2 linked regions of the Macaca fascicularis genome follow. The protein of the gene in region 1 purifies or fractionates together with the protein of each later gene. This does not show direct contact. Links are inferred from orthologs where the notes say so. Each region holds a gene or a part of one and is shown on either strand. Other genes may lie near its edges.

The links. Proteins that work in one complex are often made in the same cells at the same time.
Region 2: the proteins of DYRK1B (region 1) and LZTS2 purify together in Homo sapiens (affinity purification with mass spectrometry; 3 studies listed by BioGRID and IntAct, counting the BioPlex papers as one, with this or other methods). This does not show direct contact. The link is inferred for Macaca fascicularis from reciprocal best matches to the Homo sapiens genes DYRK1B and LZTS2.

What each region holds. Positions count from the first base shown.
Region 1 is NC_088393.1:46,953,389-46,957,508, reverse strand, and holds the start of DYRK1B (dual specificity tyrosine-phosphorylation-regulated kinase 1B), read left to right. Parts: upstream 1-1,302; 5' UTR 1,303-1,371; coding exon 1,372-1,450; exon of another isoform or gene 1,451-1,748; intron 1,749-2,740; coding exon 2,741-2,904; intron 2,905-3,915; coding exon 3,916-4,035; intron 4,036-4,120. Other genes in the region: FBL (rRNA 2'-O-methyltransferase fibrillarin), read left to right, coding at 1-53, 159-183.
Region 2 is NC_088383.1:109,955,041-109,959,276, reverse strand, and holds the start of LZTS2 (leucine zipper putative tumor suppressor 2), read right to left. Parts: upstream 2,818-4,236; 5' UTR 2,622-2,817; intron 2,226-2,621; exon of another isoform or gene 2,195-2,225; 5' UTR 1,932-2,194; intron 1,288-1,931; exon of another isoform or gene 885-1,287; intron 26-884; exon of another isoform or gene 1-25. UniProt on the Homo sapiens protein: Negative regulator of katanin-mediated microtubule severing and release from the centrosome. Required for central spindle formation and the completion of cytokinesis.

The DNA of each region.
Region 1 (4,120 bases):
TTGACCCTTGAGCCATATGAAAGAGACCATGCCGTGGTCGTGGGAGTGTACAGGTGAGCAGGGGCCCAGCAATACACCAAGACAGACATCTCTGTCCCTTGCACCCCAAGTGCCATGATCCTGGGGATCCTTCTTCATCACGTATCTTCCTCTCACAGGCCACCCCCCAAGGTGAAGAACTGAAGTTCAGCGCTGTCTGGATTGCTAGAGATGTGTGTTGATACTGTTGCACGTGTGTTTTTCTATTAAAAGACTCATCCGTCTCCCATGTCTGCTGCTCATTCCTCCCCTTGACCTGCTGACACAGGGCGCATGCACCCTTGGTTAACTTTGCGGGGTCGTGGGGTAAATTCTCACCCGGTCACAGAGCCCATGCTCCATTTGTAGCTGCCTCTCGCGCAGTCGCAGCCCGGATTTCAGTTCTTGGGTGTGATTGGTAGCTCACTGCGCATGCGTACAGGTAAGCGGCCGTCTCGCGCAGGCGGAGTGGCAGTCTGGGTCACGTGGGGGGAGCGGAGAGGGCGGGATGGGGGCGGAGTCCAGGGCGTGGGGGGGCCGGTTTGTTGTGGTCGCCATTTTGCTGGTTGCATTACTGGGTAATCGGGGCCCTGGCTTGCCGCGTCCGCCGGATACCCTCAGCCAGTGGGCAGGTCTGAGCTCGGGCTCCCCGAGCAGTTTGAGTCCCCTTGCCCGCTCCCTCAGGTAACGGCGCAGGGACGGTGGGGCGGTCGCAGGGAGGTGGGCAGGACGGGATCCGCCCTGCCCGCGTCGCCGCGAGACTTAGCGCGAGGCCAAGGGAGGAGAGGAGGGGGGTGGCGGGCAGGTGCGGGCCCTGCCTGGCTATTCATAGTTGAATTCCTGGAACCGGCCAAGCCCGAGGGAGCAGTTGCAGGAGGGAGGCTGGGAGGGGGTAGCCGGGCCCCACTCCCGCCCTTTGTTTGGGCTCGGCTCCGCGGGCCGCTTCTTCGTTGCCTAGCAACAGCTGCCCTAGGCTGTGATTGGCTGAGCTCTTGGCACCAGCGACCAATGGCACAGTTGTTGCCATGGCAGGTGCCGATTGCCAAGCTCAGTCGGGCCCCGCCTGCCGGTCTCGGCAGGCCCAGGAGGGCCTCCTGGGTGGGGGGCGGGACGCCGGGTCCCTAGGGGCTGGTGGCCACTCAGGGTGGGGCGTGTCGCCCCTCCCCCGTCCACCTGCTCTACTCTTCCCCCTCGTGCCCCGGGCTGACCCTTGTCCCCTCCTCTCCCCGCCCCTGGTGGCAGCGGCGGCTGCTGTTGTCACCCACCGGGCCGCCCGTCCCGCTTGCCCTCCCTGCCGCGGGGCCGGCCGGGCCAGGGACAGGCGGTCGCCTTTTCAGCGCTGCCACCGCCGCCATGCTGGCCGCTCGACCACCCGCCTGGGGGCCCCACCGCGCCCCAGCCCCCCGTGGGCCCCGCGCCAGCCCTGACCCGGGTAGGGGGTGGGGGCTGGGAGAGATGGTCCTGGTGTGGGAGGGCCCCGGAAAAGAGGTTGTTTTGGGGGGAAGCTCCAAGGGTGGAGGAGTCGTGGAGTGGCGAGGCATGGAATAGGAGAAAAGGATTTGACATGGGGGAGAAAATGGCCCATTGGGGAGATTTTTGCTGTGGCTGACAACTCTGGGAGGAGAGAACCCTATGTGATACTTGGGCATTTGGCTTTGAGGCCCTGTAGGAGTGGACTCAGTTGTGGAATGACCCTGGTATAAAGAGGGGTGCCTGGAGAAAGGTGTCTGGTAGGAATATTAGGCAGTGTGTGTGTGTGTATGTAGGGGGGCAAGGAAGCAGTGTAGGGGAGAAAAGATCACTCTAAACTGTGGGAAGAGACACCTCCCATCAGGAGGAGTGGGCCTTGATTGGGATGGGGTCTTGGAGTAATGTGGGGAAGAGCCCTGTTGTGGCAGGGGGAATTGGGATATAGTACAGGGAGACTGCCTGGAAGGCTGGTTCCTAATATGGAGGACCTGATATAGGGAAGCGGTCTTGGCATGATATGGAGAGGGTCCCCTAGGAAAGTTGTGCCCTGGTAGATGAGAATGCCGTAGAGATAGGACTCTGTTCTGTAGAGGTTCTCAGATAACTTTGGTGTGGTTGGGAGGTCCCTAAGGACGCTGATGTGGTTTTAGGGCTGCAGAGGATTCTGCTGTGGTTTGGGAGGGGAACACTCATGTGGTTTGGAAATCCTAGAGTTCTCTGGGCTGAGGGAATCTACTGAGAAGGGTAGATCTTGAAGTAGTGGCCCTTGCTGTACTACGGGCTGAGATCCTAATGTTCAGGGAAGACTTTAGAAGGGTGGGATCTTGTGTTAGGGGCCCTGGGGAGGGCCATGAGTAGTAATGAGAAAAGAATGAAGCTTACTCCTCTGCATACTGTCTGTGGTTTCTATCTTTTTTCTTTCCCTCCTCCGAATTATTGGTGTCTTCCTGTCCTCCTTTCCCTGTGATGGCTCATATCAACCCCTGCCTGGCCCCCAATCATTGTCTTTTATGCGTTCTCTTTGTGCTGCCTTAATCATTTACTTGGTCATTATTTGTCAAGGGACTGCTGTGCCACCCCCCACCTGGCTGCCACTTCTCTGCCCCTTTTCTTCATTGCTACCTGTTGCTCCGTTGTGCCCTTTTCCTCTTCTCTCTGTTCCCTGCCTTTCTCATGCCCACCTCTTCCGCGCCTGGCACTATTCACATATCCCTTGTTCCATGTTGTTTTCCTACCGCCTGTCTGCTCTCAGGTGTCAGCGGCGGTGGCAGCCGAGGTGCAGGATGCAAGAAGGCGCCCCCCGGCCGGGCTCCCGCTCCAGGCCTCGCTCCCCTGCGGCCCTCTGAGCCCACCATGGCCGTCCCACCGGGCCATGGTCCCTTCTCTGGCTTCCCAGGGCCCCAGGAGCACACGCAGGTACGCGTTCAGCTGGCTCCTCACCTGCCTGGTGGTAGGGGGAGGCTGGGGATAGAAGGGTCTCCAGACCAAAATGTAGTGTGGTTGCCCAAGACAGTCTCCTGGGCACATAATGGGTCCCATGGGATTGGAAAATAACAGAGGAGTTTTCAGGCAGAGTCAGGGTTTGGAGAGGTTGGGTTCAAATGCTTACCCAGTGATTAAATTACTTAGATTCTCCATACTCGAGTTTTCTATTCTGTGAAATGGGGCCAATAATGATACCTGCCTCACACGGTTGTTGTGAGGATTAAATGAGTTAATGGTATGCATGTAGAATGCTTAGAATGGTGCCTGGCGCATAGTAAATACCCAATAAATGCTCACTAAGAAAAGTTCAGAGTGAAAGATCTGGAGGGGGTGAATGGGGAGGGGGGTTGAGTCTAAACGGTCTTGAGTCCAAGAGGCATGGGTGGTGCAGGGCAAAGCTCTCCAAGGCTGGAGGCAGTGAAGGCAGTGACATGCAGAGCTTGAAGCAGGATGGAGTGGGAGGTCCAGGGGCCAGATCAGATCCAAGAGTCTTGGAGTGAAAGAACTATGCAAAGAGTTGGTGGGGGTATGGGTTGGGGCCCAAGGGATGAGGGTAAATTGAGATAGAGGAACTTCAGAGGATACCCAGAATGGCTGGCTTCACAGTGAAGAATGGGGAGGAACAGAGCCCAGATTTTCCATATAATCTCTCCCACTGAGGTTCAGAAAGGAGTAAAGGTGAGGGGTGAAAGGTCAGGGTTCACTCATTCACATCACAGGTCTGAAAGAGTATCCATTGTGTGCCAGGCCCTGCTTTAGGCACTGGAGGTACAGTAAGAACAAGAGAAAGTCTCAGCCCTGGGGGAGTTTCTTTCCTAAATGGGTGGAACAAATACAGACAGCAACCAAATACATGATGCGCGAGCAGCCCTTATAGTTCTTCCTCTTGAGGTTGGAGGTAAAGGCCCGCCCTCAGTGCCCACCCCTCACCCTGCCCTGCAGGTATTGCCTGATGTGCGGCTACTGCCTCGGAGGCTGCCCCTGGCCTTCCGAGATGCAACCTCAGCCCCGCTGCGTAAGCTCTCTGTGGACCTCATCAAGACCTACAAGCACATCAATGAGGTGGGCAGGGGCTGGGGGATCCTGGGCTGGGTGCCGAGGGTCTTGGCTGCTGGCATGAGTCACTCACCAGTCCCCATCTCCTGCC
Region 2 (4,236 bases), on another chromosome or scaffold:
ACCGCCACTCGGAGCCGCCCGGCCCGGCCCCGCCTCCGCGGCTCCCCCGGCCCTGGCCAGCCCCCGCCCAGTGCGAGTGGGCGGCGCCGCGCGGGGGAGGGTCCGAGGGGCGTCTCCGCCCCGGGACGCGGACACGCGCAGGGACACGCGCAGGGACACGCGCAGGCACCCGCGTCACGCGAATCGGCCGGGGCGCACGTAGGGGCTGTTCGGCGGCAGTCGGGAGCCCTGCCTCCGACGCCTTGTGACTGCGTGTCCGGCGGCTCGGTTCGGCTCGACGCGGCGGCGGCGGTGGTCACCCTCCGCCCCAGCCGGGGCCCCGGGGCCAGCGGCAGCTGGTCATTGTTCCAGCACAAAGGGCCACGGCACGGCGGCGGCCGCCCCTCCCCCTCCGCTTCTCCAAGCGAAGCTTCCTTGACACGCTCTCAGCCTCAGAGTCCCAAGCGAGAGAGGTCGACGACCGGCCGTCCCCCACTCTCCGGTGCCGGGGCCCCGCGCCCTAGCGCGAGTCGGAGGCCGAGGCTGGGTCCGCACCTGCCCCACCAGGGGCGGGTTGGAGGCGGCAACCTGGGCTTCGCAGAGGCGGCGCCACCTGGCGGCCCGCTCGAAGAACACACCCAGCCGCCCCCCACCACGCGGGCCCTGCCCCACTCCCCGGCACGGTGCCCTTTTCCCCGCGAACCCAGGCCGGCCTCTGGCGCGGCCCCGTGCTCCCCAGCCTCCCCTCGGGACCGCTTGCTAAGACAGAGGTCATTTCTCGGAGAGAAGCGGCCCCTGGCTCCCCAACAATCACTGGGGCAAACCGGTCCAAGCCTACAGCCCAAACCTACAGGAGCCGCACGGCAGACAACATTCCACTTTCTCAAGGTCGCAAATATTCTCACCTTCTCGCACACAATACAGTCTCCCTAACACCCACGCGACCTTTCCCACATGCAGCCTCACCACGCAGCCACAAGCAGTCTCAGCTGTCACGTGGGTCCGCGTTCCTTCTTTCCATAATCTTCCAGTCCAACTCACACACAGACACGGTGTCACAGGCCTGTTGGGCACAGGCTTCCACAACAATCCGCAGTCCTTCGCACCCAGTCACTGTCTCAAATGCACTTAGTCTCCTAACCATCTTTCACGCATTGACAGCCTCTATTCACAGTCACTCACACAGACAACTTCTTACAGCCATGCTTCGCAAATATTCTACCGCACAGCCTTTCCCCTAGGGGTCTCGGTGACCCGGTCAGGTCAGCTGATGCCTGCATCCCTGGGCAAAGACAGCCTTTCTCCCCTAACCACCCCCTCCCCCGCAGGGCCAAGGCCTGCCAGAGCTCGCCCGGGCCCCAGGAAGGAGCATCCCCCCCTTCCAGGCCACAGCCCTGGCCGGCTCTCAGCTCTATTTTTAGCTCCATGGACAGGGTTGTTTTTCTTTTTCCCTGGAAAGGGAAACACAGCCCAGCCACCCTCAGACTCACCCCAGACCCTCAGCCTCACAAGAACAGACTGAGACCCTCTCCCCAACAGAGCCCCCTCCTCTGGCCTTGCCCTGATCCCTGCCTCCTGGGGCACCGAGAACCTCCTCCCCTTTCTGGCAGCCTGCCCAGCTCAGGCGGCAGCTGGGCTCAGCGTGTGTGTAGGGGTAGGGGGTGGGGCGGGAAGAAGGCATCGAGCTACTGCCCACTCCCTCATTCCCTGGGGGCAGGGGCTCGTCCTCCTTTTTCTAGGGGTCTAGGCCCACTCTGGTATTGAGGGGGCGTTTACACTCATGCATTTTCTGCGGGGGAGGAGACTCCTACTCCGGCAAGGAGTGGAGGTGAGGGTAGGAAGGGGACCCGCAGGCGCTCAGGCAGCTGCTCTCTGGGCTGGCGGGAATAGGCGGGGGCAGCTGTCCACTGCCATCAAGGGCCTGTCTCCGAAACCTTCGGGGATGCAGATACCAAGAATGTGCTGGGGGAAGGACGTACAGGAGCCCAGGTTAACCCCAGCCCTGCCCAGCAGCCCGGCCCTCCTGCTCCGCCCCGGCTCCAGGGGGCGCTGTGCTCCGGTTCCTGGGAGAGGGCTTATCCCGGCTCCAGGAGGAGAATGGAACGCCGTCCGGCCTGGAACCAAGCAAACGGGCCTCGTGGTGGGGTTGGGGGCACAGGCCACTGGTGTGCGGAGCTGTCACGTGCCCGGCGCCTGTTTACGTCTTCGTCTTCACCTGTGGGCGGCCAGGAAGCAGGAACCTCTGGGTGCGTCCCACCCGGCCCGCCCCCGTCGGCGGTCACGGGGCTGCCCCTTTCCCGCACCCAATGCGCGACCGCAGAGTGCCCTGCCCGCTGTGGGTCCGCGCGGGCTGATTGGCGCTGTCCCTGGGAGTGCAAGGGTACAAAACTGGGCGCGTCCTTTCCGACTGCATGTGTGTTCGCGTGTCCCAAGTGCGGGCGTGGGTCTGTGCACGCGTGTTTGGGGCCCGTCGGCGTGCGTTTTCGTGTCGCTTCCCTGTTTGGACTCTTCGCGGGCGACCCACCAAGTGCGGACCCCCCTCCTCACTCCACCCCTAGCTTCCCCAGAAGCGGAAAGTTCGTTCAGGAGCGGGGATGTGCGGGAAGCAGGAGTTCCTGCACCTCCGCGGCCCCACCACTCACCCAGCGCCACCTGCGCCTCGGCTCCAGCTCTGGCCCCGCTCCTGCTCCAGCGCGCCCACCTCCTCGCCGCGACAACGCCGCCTCCCTAGCCCGCTCCGAACTCTGGGCTCCGAACTCCGGGCTCCGGGTTCCGGGCTCCCGGCTCCCGGCTCCGGGCTCCCGGCTCCCGGCTCCGGGCGCCCGCCTGGCCTGACCTGGTGGGGCGGGGCGGGGCGGCTCAGGCCGCGCCCCCCACCCAGGGAGGGGAGTGGTCTGTCCCGCACTCCACCAACAGCCTACCCAGTTCCCTGCCCCACAGGGACTCGACGGTGGCCGAGGCTGCCCCTCTGGCCTTCGCCTTCACAGTTTACTGGATTTGGTTTTTGACGTGGGGAAGGGGGCGAGCATCTCGTGACCGATAATTCGACTACCTGGCTGCCTTAAACTAAGCTGCCCTATAGAACTTGACTCTGCCACCCTCCCTGCTCCGTTGGGAGCCCAACCCGGTCCACTCTTGACCCAATCCCCAAATATAGGGAAAACCCCTGGGAATCAGACAAAGGAGGCTCGAGTTTCACCAGAGCAGCTCCCACCTGCCCCCACCATGCACACACCTCAGCGTGGGGCTGCCCAAGCAGAACCAGCACAGCCCCCTCCCTAGAGTAGGTGTCTGCCCAGGTGAGCAGGCCTGCCGGTTCTGACCCCCCACGGGGCATGACTGGGCTTCTCTTAGACTCATAAAATCCTACCCACAGGCACAAACAGGAAGTTGGCCTGTATTGCAGGGAGGCCCCAGGGGCTCCCTCCCGCCATGGCACTCAAGGCAGCATGTGGGAAGGTCTTTAGGTATCTGGGCCGTATGGGCTGCTGGAGACCTCGGTGAGTTGTTGTTTTTTGAGACGGAGTCCCGCTGTGTCGCCCTGGCTGGAATGCAGCGGGCGCGATCTTGGCTCATTGCAACTTCAGCTTCCAAGGTTCAAGTAATTCTCCTGCCTCAGCCTCCAGAGCAGCTGGGACTAGAGGCATGTGCCACCACGCCCGGCTAATTTTTGTATTTTTAGTAGAGACGGGGTTTCACCATATTGGCCAGGCTGGTCTCGAACTCCTGACCTTGTGATCCACCCACCTCGGCCTCCAAAAGTGCTGGGATTACAGGTGTGAGCCACCACACCCGGCCGAGCTGTTTATTATTAAACCCATCCACAGCAGAGAGGAAGCTGCTGGAGGACCAAAGCTGCCCCCTCATAGCCAAGTGTGACATACACTATCAGTTAGAGGACAAGGCTGTAGATCCAACTGGACCTGGCTTAGCCAGGCCTTTCCTGAGTTCTCGGGGAAATGTTTTTGAATTTTTTTTTTTCTTCCCAATCCACTGAACCTGTGAGTCAGGGAGATTCTTAACATCCAGTTGGGTGTAGGCAGACCAGTCCTATCCCAGGGAATCTGCACAGGCCCTAGGGACCCCCCACTGCTTTCTAGAATCCAGGGATCTGAACAGGCTGGGCCCGATCATGATGTGGGTGTTTAAGGCAGGTATGGAGTAGAATGTGTTTGTGCAGGGGGTGGGGCTGGGGAGAGTATTAGCTTCCCCTCCACCTCATCCTTCTGGTTTGTGCTGTGTGGGGATGTCTACTAG